Linked DNA regions of Drosophila melanogaster. The protein of the gene in region 1 interacts with the protein of each later gene in a pairwise test. Each region holds a gene or a part of one and is shown in the gene's direction. Other genes may lie near its edges.

What was found.
Region 2: the proteins of CG10948 (region 1) and CG3081 interact in a two-hybrid assay, tested with the Drosophila melanogaster proteins (one large-scale study listed by BioGRID).

The regions. Positions count from the first base shown.
Region 1 is NT_037436.4:12,844,011-12,852,260, reverse strand, and holds CG10948 (uncharacterized protein), read left to right. Parts: upstream 1-2,143; 5' UTR 2,144-2,225; coding exon 2,226-2,229; intron 2,230-2,469; exon of another isoform or gene 2,470-2,521; coding exon 2,522-3,103; intron 3,104-3,165; coding exon 3,166-3,891; intron 3,892-5,104; coding exon 5,105-5,211; intron 5,212-6,407; coding exon 6,408-6,527; intron 6,528-6,592; coding exon 6,593-7,204; intron 7,205-7,336; coding exon 7,337-7,600; 3' UTR 7,601-8,007; downstream 8,008-8,250. Other genes in the region: Wbp2 (WW domain binding protein 2), read right to left, coding at 539-952, 1,108-1,346, 1,464-1,763, 1,930-1,985.
Region 2 is NC_004354.4:4,638,688-4,643,285, reverse strand, and holds CG3081 (uncharacterized protein), read left to right. Parts: upstream 1-2,123; 5' UTR 2,124-2,209; coding exon 2,210-3,961; 3' UTR 3,962-4,027; downstream 4,028-4,598. Other genes in the region: CG3062 (uncharacterized protein), read left to right, coding at 956-1,092, 1,144-1,453, 1,634-1,918.

The DNA.
Region 1 (8,250 bases):
TGAGGTACAGTAGTTTGCTTTTAATTACACTGTAAAATAGGTCAAAAGATAAATGCTTTTTTTTAGATTCGGGAAATAATTTTGTTTTGATTAGTAATAGGTTAATCGTTATTTGGATATTAGGTGAGAAACCTGATAAGGGAACTCAAAAATGGGAAAAAAACAAATATAAACACTACCAAAAAAGGAATATTACACCGTCAAATGAATTATGCTAACAAATCATTTATTATTTGGACAAATTGAATAATTTTGTAAGTGAGAAAAATAAACAGAACGAATGCTTCTGAATGGTTTTTGGATGCCTCTTGAATACTTTGAGCGTCCGAAAGCAAAAGGTGGTTCATGATACTTCAATTAAATTCTTGATAACATTTTAGATCTTTAGATGTTTCGACTATTTTAAAGATGTTCATAATTTTCTTGTCCTTTTGCTCATATTTTTTTATCTTTTGCTAGAATAAAACCAATTTAGAAATGTGCATTGTGGGAGGGAAATGTTAAAAAAGTGATGAATGGGATGATGAGTTCTACTCACTTCCAGGGGGCAAGCTGAAGCCCATAAAGCTGGCTCCAGATGCGGCGGCTCCTCCAGCTGCTCCTGCTGCTTGTTGTCCGGGTGGCGGTGGTCCACCTGGATAGCCATTTGGATTTCCATTCGGTTGCTGAAATCCGGGGGTATTAAATCCGCCAGGAACATTGCCGTATCCACCATATGGCTGTGGACCATTGTACGTCTGAGCCGGAGCGGCGTACGGCGGCTGTGGTGGACAATTTGGGGCACATGAAGCGTACGGCGGAGGTTGGACATAGCCACCGGCCCATCCTTGTGGCCCATAGCCCGGCTGCTGTTGTTGCTGCTGCGGCGGCGGCGCTGAAAAACCATACCAATTGGGTTCATTCGACGACGGTGCCTGCGGCTGTTGCGGTGCTGGTTGGTGAGCAGGTGGTGCTAAGACGAAAAAGAGAGGAGTGCCCCATTGGGTTAAACGAAGCGAGTGCGTAGCGTGAATTTCGTGGGTAAGCCAGGTTGCCAATTCGCGTAGCCAGCGTGCCAAAACAAAAGCCGAGTATAGATTGGGTAAAGTGCACGTGCGTTTAACTTACCGATACCCGGATACGGCGGCGGATTGTCGCTCATATAGACCGTATTCGGCGCAGGGCCGCTGAATGCGTCATGCTGCGGCAGCCAGCCATAGTAGCCAGGTGGTGGCTGATATGCCGGCGGTGGTGCCTCATTCCAGGATCCAGCCGGCTGATATGGTGGCGGATCATCACCAGCCAGACCACCGCGGTGGTAGTTGTTCATCGCCGTCTTGGCGGAGCGCAGTAGAGCTTGACCATATCTATAAGAAATGGACTTGTTAATCAGAACATTATATATTCTCTTGAGTCTATTCAGTATTAAGACTTATCAAGAGATCCGTCTAATTAGTTTTAATTTAGGTGCACAATGCACTTACTCAATTGCGCCGCCTGCCTTGAAATGGAGCTTGAACTTGACCTCGCCCACGTAGTTTCCATTTGGCTGAGCGCGAACCTTTCCCTTGATGTAGTTGGCCCCGAAAACGGGCTGTTCGATTTCCACATCCGAAAGAGCAACAAACGGGGCACTGAACGACTGCATCGAATCCGAGGACTTCTTGCTATTGAAGATCATTCGGTGGGAGGTGAGATAAATCCTGCCACCTTTGGAGCCCTTGAAGATGGGATTGTCCTGACCGGAGAACTCCATGGAGACACTGTCGCTGTGGAGCAGTATGCTGAAAGTGTAAAAGCAGTTAATTTGTGTGCCATATTTCTATCTTATCGCTGGAACATAGGCTAATTTCCTTTCAAATCGCCAGCCACACGTCAGTGTTTACATTTATGACGTCAGGGATGTTCAGCATTTTCAGTGTTAATTAAAGGACTTTTCCGTTAACTTACTACTCTCCAGCATGGATGAGCACGCCATTGTTGGCGTGAGCCGTATTAACCGACATGTCTCTTTAATTTTCCAACTGTTTTGAGTCCACAAAAATTTGCAAAAATTTCATACAACTACGTTTTGTTTTTCTAGAAAACTGACGACAGCTGATGATTCATAGTGAAAAGTGTGGCAGCGCCGAAATTATCGGATATCGATACTCTTTTTAGGGTGACCAGTACGAGCAGTCACTCATCTCTAAATATAATTAGTTTTTTTTTATACATACCTGTCGTACAATTACTGGGGCGTTAATATGCGTAAGTGATAAGATAATGATTTTAAAAAGCCCACAAAATGTGTAGCAAAGAAAATGGAATAAATAGAAAGGTCTGGGAAATTAAGAAACAACAGTATTTGCGGTGAATTCGACTTTTATCAGCAGGTGGGACTTACGCCATTTTGGGCACTTGCCACCCCCCAGCTTTTATTTCCTTTTTTTACCTATCGAAAATTGAGGTGCTCAGCTGATTGGTTATTTTGTTTTGCTACCGGCTTCGTTTGGGTTGTTATCTCTTTTAAAGCAAATTACAAACTGTGTACATTTTGCAGTACCGCTCTTTGGGACCATGCCGAATGGCGTCAGTTTGCCAAATCACCCGAATTTCCTCAACCAATTGGCAGCTGCAATTTCCACGGCGGCCTCGAGCACATCTGTCGTGGGAAATCCCTCTTCGCCCCCCAAACAGATCCAGAATAAGATGGCAAAACAACAACAACAACCACAGGGCAGTGCGCCCATGGATCTGGAGAATGAGAACGAACACTCTGCGGATGTGAGCTCCTCGACGATGCACAAGGAACCCAAGTTGCAGGCCACATCCAACTCGCTCACTCTGCCCGATTCGACGCAACTATACCTGAATGGCTTGGTGCACACACCACCTGGATATCTGTATTTTCCGGCCACCCAAGCGGGTGGTGCTACTGCACCCGGCAATCCATCCTCGGCTGCAGGGGGATCCACGCCGGCAGCTTCAGCAAACAGCACCGCCAATGCGCAAATGCTCATGGATCCTACGGCCATGATGGCGGCGGCGATGCAACAAATGCAACAGATGCACTATGCAGCGGCAGCAGCAGCCGGAATGACCACAGAAACCGGAGCTGGACTAGAAGCAACTCTTAATGCGGGTAATGAAAGCAATACCAAATTGGAACCTTAAATAAACATTCTAATAAAAACATACTTTTAGATGGCGTTACACCAGCTGGCCTCAAGGAGGTGATCAAGACCAAGAACTGCATCCTGTTTCCACCTAATCCGAACGCACCTCCTCCCACAATAAGGGAGCGACCACCAGGATGCCGGACGGTGTTTGTGGGTGGACTGCCGGAAAACATAACCGAAGAAGTGATCCGGGAGATCTTCGAATCATGCGGCGAGATCACCACATTGCGCATGTCCAAGAAGAACTTTTGCCATATTCGCTACCGCCAAGAGGGTGCCATAGATAGGGCCATCTACCTATCCGGCTATAGATTGCGTATATCAGCGCTAAATGAACCTCCCAACTTTGGACGCCTGCATGTGGACTACGCACAGGCACGGGATGATCAGTATGATTACGAGTGTCGACAGAGACAGCATCAGAGGGAACAGCGTCATCGTGAGCGCATGTCGATGGACAGGATGCGATCGCAGTCGCCGCCACCAATACCGCACTACACGGATCACGAGGCTACTACTGTTGCGGAGCACCTACGCACCAACGAGACTTTTGTAAAGGCCATTCAAACGATTACCGCGTGGCTGGAGCGGGGAGATTGCACTAAGCGGAACGCCAATGTCTTCTATTCGATGATCCAGAGCACTCATGCCCATGTACGAAGACTCCATGCAGACAAACTGCAACTGGAGGAGGATCTAAAGAAGGCCAGAGACAGCTATCGCAACCAAATGGGCACCATGTCCACGCAATGTAAGTATTTCGGCCTTTCAGCCGGAAGATCAGCTTTCTTAGCTCTAGTCTAGACGGGAAACTAGGCGCCGATCCCACTTTGAAATCCTATTTTTCTGTTTACGTTGCGCCCGGGTTAGCCTTTTAGCGTCTGTATATCTGAACAATCTACCAGCGTACTACACATCCAAACACCTACACCTACACTGAAAACACACCATACCCATCCTACACAATATTTAGCAAATCTAGTCATCGAATTATTAAATGCCAAACTCCACATATGAAACTACCGTCTAAAATTTGCTCGCCAATGGTCGCTGGAGCAAGCCCAATGAATCCAAGCAGGATCAGGTAAAGACTAGCCGAAAAAGACGAAGCCCAAGGCCGCCGCACAGCAAAAGTCAGTGGATGAGGCGACAATCGAGATTGCCTTTGTTCTAACATCTGAAAATGTTTTGTGATGGTATATGGAGCCTTAGCACAAGCATTGGCATTTGAAAGATTAATGCATTTACTAGGAAGTTCAGTCGTTTTAATACGTTTTACTAAATTATTACTGCCAATTAACTACCGCTAATAAGTATTAAATCAAAAACCCGCTTAAATTATCAATTATTTTGATAATTAATATTAATGTAAAACTATAAAACTACATTTCGCATTCATTTAACAGTTTGATTTCCTGATTAAAATGGAATATCATTTCTTATTCAATCATGTTTATTTAAAAAGTTGGTCGCCCTTTTCACTGATTCGCTCCACTGTGCGGCTGATCCTCACTCACTTTCACTGTGTCTCGACACCACCACAAAAGTCTTAAGTCTTATTTGGCCCAAAAGGTTTGTAAGCCGCAAGGCAGAGAGCAAATTGAAACAATTGGTACAGTAATGGATTGAGAGGTCCTTGTAGAGCATCTCAGATAATCTCAGACTCGGACAAACGTAAAGATAGGTAATCACGCTGTTGTATTCTCTCTAGATTGTACCTAATATATCAACCTTAAATAATCGTAACTACTCTAATTAAATAATTGCTATGCGAGGGTTTCTCCTGTAGTTTAATTTCAATTTTTCATTTCTCACTCATTTTATTCGCAAAGAGAACAAGTCTAGTTTGACAAAGGTGAAGAGCAAAACTGAAAACCAATCCAGATAAACAAACAATCAAAAAAAAAAAAAAATACCCTCTGTCCTCCCTTAATATTATTATATATTATTGCATTATTGTTCAGTCACTCAGATTGAAAAAGTGTTCAATGCCGCTAGTCACAAGAAGGTTTGGGACCATTTCACCAAAGCCCAAAGAAAAAACATCGATCAATGGAAGAAATTAGCCACGGTACGTACTAAAATGTTCAAATAATCAAATACGAACAATTTCAAAGATGTTGCAAATTGTGTAAAAACAAAAAATACATTTATTGTCCAATAACTTCGATTCACTGTTGTATCTCTTGGTTTCATAATGTTGTATCCGTTTATGTTGATGTTGTTATCATCGTTGTGGTGTTGCAGTAGATTTCTAACCATTTTACTAACGCAATTTCTGTTATCATTCAGCATGTCGCCCATTCACCCGTCCTATATAATCATATGGTACTATTCCATTGGTGACGCTTATAGCTGCTAATTGCTTTTTATTAATTGTTAATTTCTTTTATTTGTCCCGTGCATTAAGACTCTTTTTAGCTGTTTGTGTTTTTGATTATCGAAATTTCCAAATCAGTTGTGATGTCACTAAAAAAGAAACAATATTAATATTAATGTAATTTGCAAGCTTAAAATGTACTATCGTTTAAATTATGTAGAATTAGATATATGAATAAGATTATTTTAAGGGAAACTGTTAAAAAACTAGTTAACTATATTACTATATTTCTAAGAATTCATTTTACAAAGTAAAAGTGCGTTTTTTAAACAGTTTCCTGATCATAAACACTCATTAGTATCTTTCTAAATATGAGGTCTTTTACTTTTATTGCTTTCGCTCTTGATCTGTAATGCTTTGGTCTATCTTTTCTTGGCTTTCAAGTATCATTTGTTGTTGTACTATCTCTATTTTTAACTAAGCATTTGCATAACATTTCCGATACGCTTTAAATACATCGAACTAAAAGTAAACCTTAGCCGAGTGTCCACAAACCTTCAAGTTTCTATGGGAAATTGAATTTTATAGAAAACGAGGAAGGTTTTGATGGGCACTCAGTGAAATCGATTGGTTGTGGTAAATAGCAAAAGGAAGAACTAAAAACATTGCTGCTGTGAAACATAATTTGTGCAACAAATACAAATTAATTTTTAATAGCAAAAAGAAATTAATCGAAACAAATTCTAAAACTTTTTGAAAATGTGGCGAGGTAAGTAAGCGGACCAGAACAGAGTCGTAAGCAAGGAAACAAATTTGATGCATTATTTAAATACACAAATTTTATAGCTAGGTTATAATAGTGTAAGCAATGGTACTCAAACCAAACGAAACCTATCCAACTAGTAGCAACGGATAATTAATTGAAGTTCCTTTCGCATGCCACGCAGGAACTTCGAACTGTCCAGATCACAGATGATGATGAAATGGAAATCTCCGACGATGAGCGGGACTACGATAGACGCGGACACAGCGCCAAGCGAATTCGCTACGACAGTGATGGCTTAAAAGTATGTTTATCAAATAGTTTAGTATAAGTAACTTGAAATAAAATAAAGATTTTAAATTGGATCAGGACGAGAACGACTCTCTACGCTGTCAACTGGAGGCCATTCGTCACGAGATGACGCTGGAGCGCAGTGATTATGTTCAGCGCGAAAAGCAGATAAAGGTACTTCAGGAAACCATTCGCAACATGCAGACCCAGTTGCTGCAGACGAAGCTACGCGAACAGAAGGACAACAAGACCATTGAGCAGTTGGAACGAAATCTCAAGGATGCCGGCATTAAGCAACTTCTGTTGAAGACCAAAATTAAGGAAACAGTGGACAAATTAAGGGACAAAGAGGCAAATAGCGCTGGAGCCTCAAATGCTTCAAACGCCTCAAATCTCGACTACAGCAGCGGGGATTCGTGTAGCCGGGAAGGCACAGAAATTATCCGCCCACAGGCAGAACCGGAAATAATTGATATCGATAAAGTGGATGATGATGTCCGCATCATAGAGCACCAAAGCGGTGTGGTGGAGATACACGAGATCGAGGACGATGAAAAGCAGGAGCCCGCTAAGGATTCTACGAAAAGCAAAGCAAATGAGTCAATTATGGAAAATGTTTCAAAGTCGAATCATGAGGAGACTATAAACAAAAGCAGCAAAGAGCAAATCCCAACAGTGGCCGCGGAAGAGGTTAGTAATGAGAATTATTTGTGTAACTATATATATATATAGATTTAATTACTTAATTTATCTTAGTTTTACATGCATCTAATTATTTCATACATTCCCTTGCATATTTCTAATCACTATTCCTTGTTTTAGGTGACTTTCAAGTCGCTAGTCTTGTCTGAAGCCAAGATAATTGCTCTGGCCTCAGCCTATCTGGTGCTGCATCCCTATGGCGTTGAAATCGCCAACATAGCCAGTTACTTAAGCGAAATGCTGCGCAATAACGCTGCCCCCAGTAACCATGATGATCTAGCCAATATACTCGGAAAGTACACAAATCTCTTCAAGCCGGAAAAGGAGAAGTGGAGATTCTGTGGCTTCAGCGAACCAACTGAATCTCAGACGGAGTCAAAGTGAGGGGATGAATGCGGAATGTAGACTCGAATAAGATGACAATTAAATGCTTTAATTATCTTACAACTATATCATAATGAGTAGCGAGTAAGCGGAGGAAAGTGAAATGTTAACCAAAGGAAAGACGCAAGTTTTTCAATGAAATCACGACTTAATGAGACCAGATCCAGGTTTAAGGGCAAGTACTCGAAGTTAACTCAATCGGAAGAAAGACACCACAAACTAACTACCGTTTCAATTATTTAAATAACTCAACCTAAAGAATATATATACACTTAAGCTAAATGAATTCAATATATACAAAATATATATACATCAATATTTTAAATAAACTGAGAGGCAGAAGGTCGCGTTGCTTTTGTTGAACGGAAGCGAAAGAATGGAACCAAATAAATTGTATGCTAAACTACAAAGAGTTTTCTTTAATTTGAATCAGATAAAATATTTGGTTAATGACACAAACACACATCTTTCAAGAGAGCTTAATCTTGAAATCGAATACAGCATCTTAAATATTTTGAGATTTCCATACTTATTTTTAAAATTGATTTTATTAAAATAAAATTAAACTTAATTTATGAGTTTGGTTATCAGTTGTAAGCTTCCTGATTCACAAGCTTTACATGATTCGTTAATTGAAATCGAACACGATG
Region 2 (4,598 bases), on another chromosome or scaffold:
TTTCACGCCGCAATTTGTTCGAGCGCACAGCTACATTGCGTAATTGCCGTGCAAATTTAATTACAGCGCCGATGCGGTAATGCTGGTTGACCAACAAAACAGCCACGCGCTGCGAACGTGCGCCCTTGTCACACCCACTCACAATACGGAATCAGCACCCAGTGGAACACCCACTGCAGCACCCATCGATCAAGGCCTCAATCAAGTGGTGACACTCGGAGCGCTCCGAGTATCGAGTTACCAGCGAAGGTCCATTTGCATTCCTTAATTGAAATTCGTACGCGTGGGAAGACCACGCAGCCTGAAAGCTTTGAATCTCCCAAAGTTGGATGTTGCTCCATGTTTTTTTTTTTTTTTGGAAGAGATGATCTTCCATTTAACAGATTTCACTTCTCATATTCATATTCAATTATGCCACATAGTAGTTCAATCCAATTCAATTGCAGGCATATTGCCGGGCTCACTTGCTCCTGTGCCCGCTTAGGGCTGGCTAATCCTTCTGATAAATGGTCCGGGCTTTGGATGAGATGCAGTGGCTCGTTTTTTAGCGCGCGCAGAGATGTTGGAAATTTTTAGAAAGGCAAACACAAACAAGGCATTAAGTGGCATTAGACAAATGCCTTTCTACACATGTTCCAGCGTAGAGATTACGCCGTGTAATTGGCCCCACCTCCATTCGCCCGGGGTGGGTTCCGGTTTTCGATTGACATTTGGCCACGGCTGCGGGGTGGGCTACTGCTCTGCTCTGCTCTGCTCCTTCTACAATTTTTTTTTTTTTTTTTGTTCTTTCTTTTTATCAATTGCCTTGTTTGCGCTGGGACCATAAATAAGGGCATTACTCGCAGGGGGCGTGCGCGTTTTCCTAACAGGTGTCTATCGACTCCTGGCTAATCCCATGCCCATGCCCATGCCCAGCTCCCTGACATCGAGTTCCTTACTTACTCGTTCGTTGCAGTTCGAAGGCCGATTCCAGTCGAAGCGTCTCAACAACTGGGAATATCCGCGATTCTCACCACCCCGCCCACGTGGTCTGCAGAAGAACGCCAAGGTTGTGGCGGCCAATAACGGTCACCTGCTGCCCGAAGTGATAAAGTAAGCAATTGCCAATGCCCCACAATTATACAGTTTAATTTTAATCCACAGGGAGGGCAACTCATTTGGCCAATATCGTGGAACCTACGAGCTACCGCGTCGAATAACCCGTGCCTTTTGCGCCCACTACGATGCCTGTCTGAGTGGGCGGTACAAGTTTGTTGACTTTCCGCGTGACCTGTGCAATTGTCAGCGAGAGAACCGCAGGGCACTGGCCTGCGATCAGCGGTTGACCTTGGGCCACAAGGACGATCCCTACTGGATGCGCGAACGGTGCCAGACGAAGTGCGAGGGACTACAGAAGCTGAGGGCGTTGAGCGAGCGGAGTGCGCGCTGCAATCGGGCCAAGTGCGACGTGGTGGTGAGTGGGAATCGGGGTCACCATCGGGGTCACCATCGGTGTCACCTCTTACCAATTATGTGCACCCAGATTATTGAGTTATCTGCAACCAAGCTATACATATTTTCATTTCTGGTTGCACTTTTTGCACTTTCATCCTGCACCCTGCACACTCACATTCACATTCACCTGCAACCGTAGAGCGAGAAAACCGTGAAGATGACGCCGAAGGCAATCAAGACGACGGGTGTGGCCACCGAAAAGCGGCGTCGAAAGCGCACCATAACCGCCTTTTCCAAAGGACGAACGGCATTGCATCCCAATGAGCTGACCAAGCCGATTCCATCGTCGGAGAAACCGGCGGCGACTGTCGCCACTCCCAAGGACAAGCCGAAGGACAAGCCAAAGGACAAGGAGGCGGGCAAGAAGGATAAGACGAAGGATAAGGGCAAGGAGAAAGAGCGCAAGGCGGCGAAGGGCCATTAGTAAAACTTCATTATTTTGTTCAACCGAAATTCAAATCAAATTCATTGTAACCGCAGGTTTAAAATACATTTTAAAGGGCAGCACGATTGCACTCAACACAAATCATATAGCATATATATTTTATAACTAAACCCAGGTTAAACCATCTGTTACATATGTACATAAATCATACATCATTATCATCTCCATCTCCATCTCCATCTTATCTCATCCCATTCCATTCTGCACCACCAACGCATTGCAACAAGTGAACGAACCTGAAAGCCACCTACTCCATTACTCCATCCAATCATGTCGCAAACAGCTCTCCCGGAACTGAGCTACACGCCGGGCGACCTAACAGAGCCGCAGTTCCGGCTGCCCTCGCACCAGGAGCTCCTCGACCAGAAACGCAACAGCACGGACAGCGTGCCACTTGGTCGTCTCACCTTGGACACGCGCGACACGCAGCCCATCAAGTACAGGGAGCAGCTGGGCTCGGCGGCCGGTCGTCAATTTCCGGCATTGGCAGCGGCCCAAAATCGCTATACGGATCACTTGGAGCGCAGCAGCGAGTTGAGCTTTGCGTGCCTGGAGCCGGGCAAGGATCTAATCTCATTGCCGACGGTGGGTATACGAAGCTTTGATCTCGATCCCGTATCCGTATCCGAACCCGATTTGATCAAGAAGATGCCGCTGCACTCGATCACGGAGAAGCCCAACGAGCGGTGTCCATCGCCAGTGGTGCCGGCATATGCCAATTTCGAGCTGGCCAAACGGATGCACCAGGACAATTTGGACCACCAGCCGCTGCCCGATTGCGTCGCCGATTTGGCATTCCGGCGAGCGCAAATATCCGGCGGACATGCTGGCCTGGCCCTGGAAATCGATCCCATTGCCACGGGCGTGGGTGTGAAAACGCACAATGCTGGTCCGACGCACTGCACCAAGATGAAGGTCTTTCGTCCGAAGACCGGCGGTGGCATCGTGCCACGTGCCCTCGGCAATGGCGATGCCTTTCGAGGTGTTGGCTCCGCTCCGGCCAAAAAGATGGGACCCATGGATTTGGCCATTTGTTGGGACTTCAAGCCGGCGAATCCATCGGATGAGCCGCGCCTGGCCAGGCACATAGATGGCTCCAATGACTCCGCTGGACCGGCTGTCTTCACCTGCGTGAAAACGCCTCGCGAGGAACAGTCCTCGGACTTGGGCCGATCGGCTGGCGTCTTCACCAGCACGCTTGGTGAGGCCGATTTCTTCGACAAGGACATCCTGAGGAAGCGAACGGATTTTGGCGGTGCCCGTGTGGATCGCGAGGATCCGTGCGCCTGCGACTACTCGCCACCGGCCAGACAAAGAGCACGCAGTGTCTCCCGCGATTCCAGTGCATCGCATTGCAGGCGAGGATCGGGCATCGGCGGTCCAACTGGCGGTGTGAGTTTCGGCAATTTGGCGGAGCTACCCGGTCGCGGGATGCCCGATCGTCTAGCCAAGCAGTATCAATCGTCACCCCTGCTGGGCGACAAAGCCTACCAGGCTTTGAGGGAGAAATATTTGGGTCCGGACTCTGGACAGGATTGCAGGGCCATGGATTGCCGGCCAACGGGTGGTCCACCATGCAAGCGAGACGTTCTCCTCCGGCGTCCAGCTCGACGTCTCTGCCACAAGGTGGCTCCAGCTCCCAGATGCTGTCCCCCATCGTTCGGCGGACATGGTCATCACCATGGACATGGACACGGACACGGACATTGCTTGACCAGTAAGGCGGCATTTCGCGCCGGAGTGCCCAAGCATAATGCCTCCGGTGATTTCGTGGGAATAGAACCGGGCTGCGGAGGAGGTGGCGGTGGCGGTGGTAGGGTTCTGGTGGTGCCACGCCCCCGGCAGCCGTATGCCAAAAAGAATTACGACATCGAAACCCTGGTGCCGCCCTTCCAAAGCCAAGCGGGCGGAGCGGGTCAGGGCGGCTATCCAGAGCACTGGCGATTGGCCAGTGTCTATCAGCACGCCTACAAGCCCATCGACCAGCGGCGGCGACCCCTTCTCCAAACTGTCTACAAGTAGGTGTGCTCCAGGATGGCAGTCCGCTCAAGAGAGAAATGTCCGGACAAACGGGATAATGAATAATTGAAAGCTATACAAAAATGTCCATAAGCTAAGCAAGTATATTAACTTATCAACTTAAATGTTTGCTAGTCATTAGCATTAAATTGATGCATCTGTACACACAAATTAGTCGGAAAAATCGGTCCAAGAATAGGAAATCACACGTTTATGTATAAAAAAACAAATGTTATATATATTAGAAAGCATATATATATATATATATAAAGATATATGGGCAAACATACATACATACATATATGAATAAACGTGCAAACATCAAGTAACTTAAAACTATAAACAGTGTGCAAATTAATTTGCAGAGTTCGCTTGAAAAATTAAGAAAAAAAACTTGATTAAAAACTAGGTGATGATGTGGTTTTCAGATGAAATAAGGTTTCCTTTCCTTTTTTCGCTGGTCTTGTGTGACAATCTTTGGGTGCAATTAAAAACTTAACTAGGTGCTGAAAAATCGAATTGAAAAGAAGTCAATTGGGTCAATTCAACAAGGGGAAGGCGCATTTCAAAAATAATAACAAATAAATTTAAATGCTTTCGGTTACAGAAATGCCATTTGAAATCCCCTAAAAATCGACGC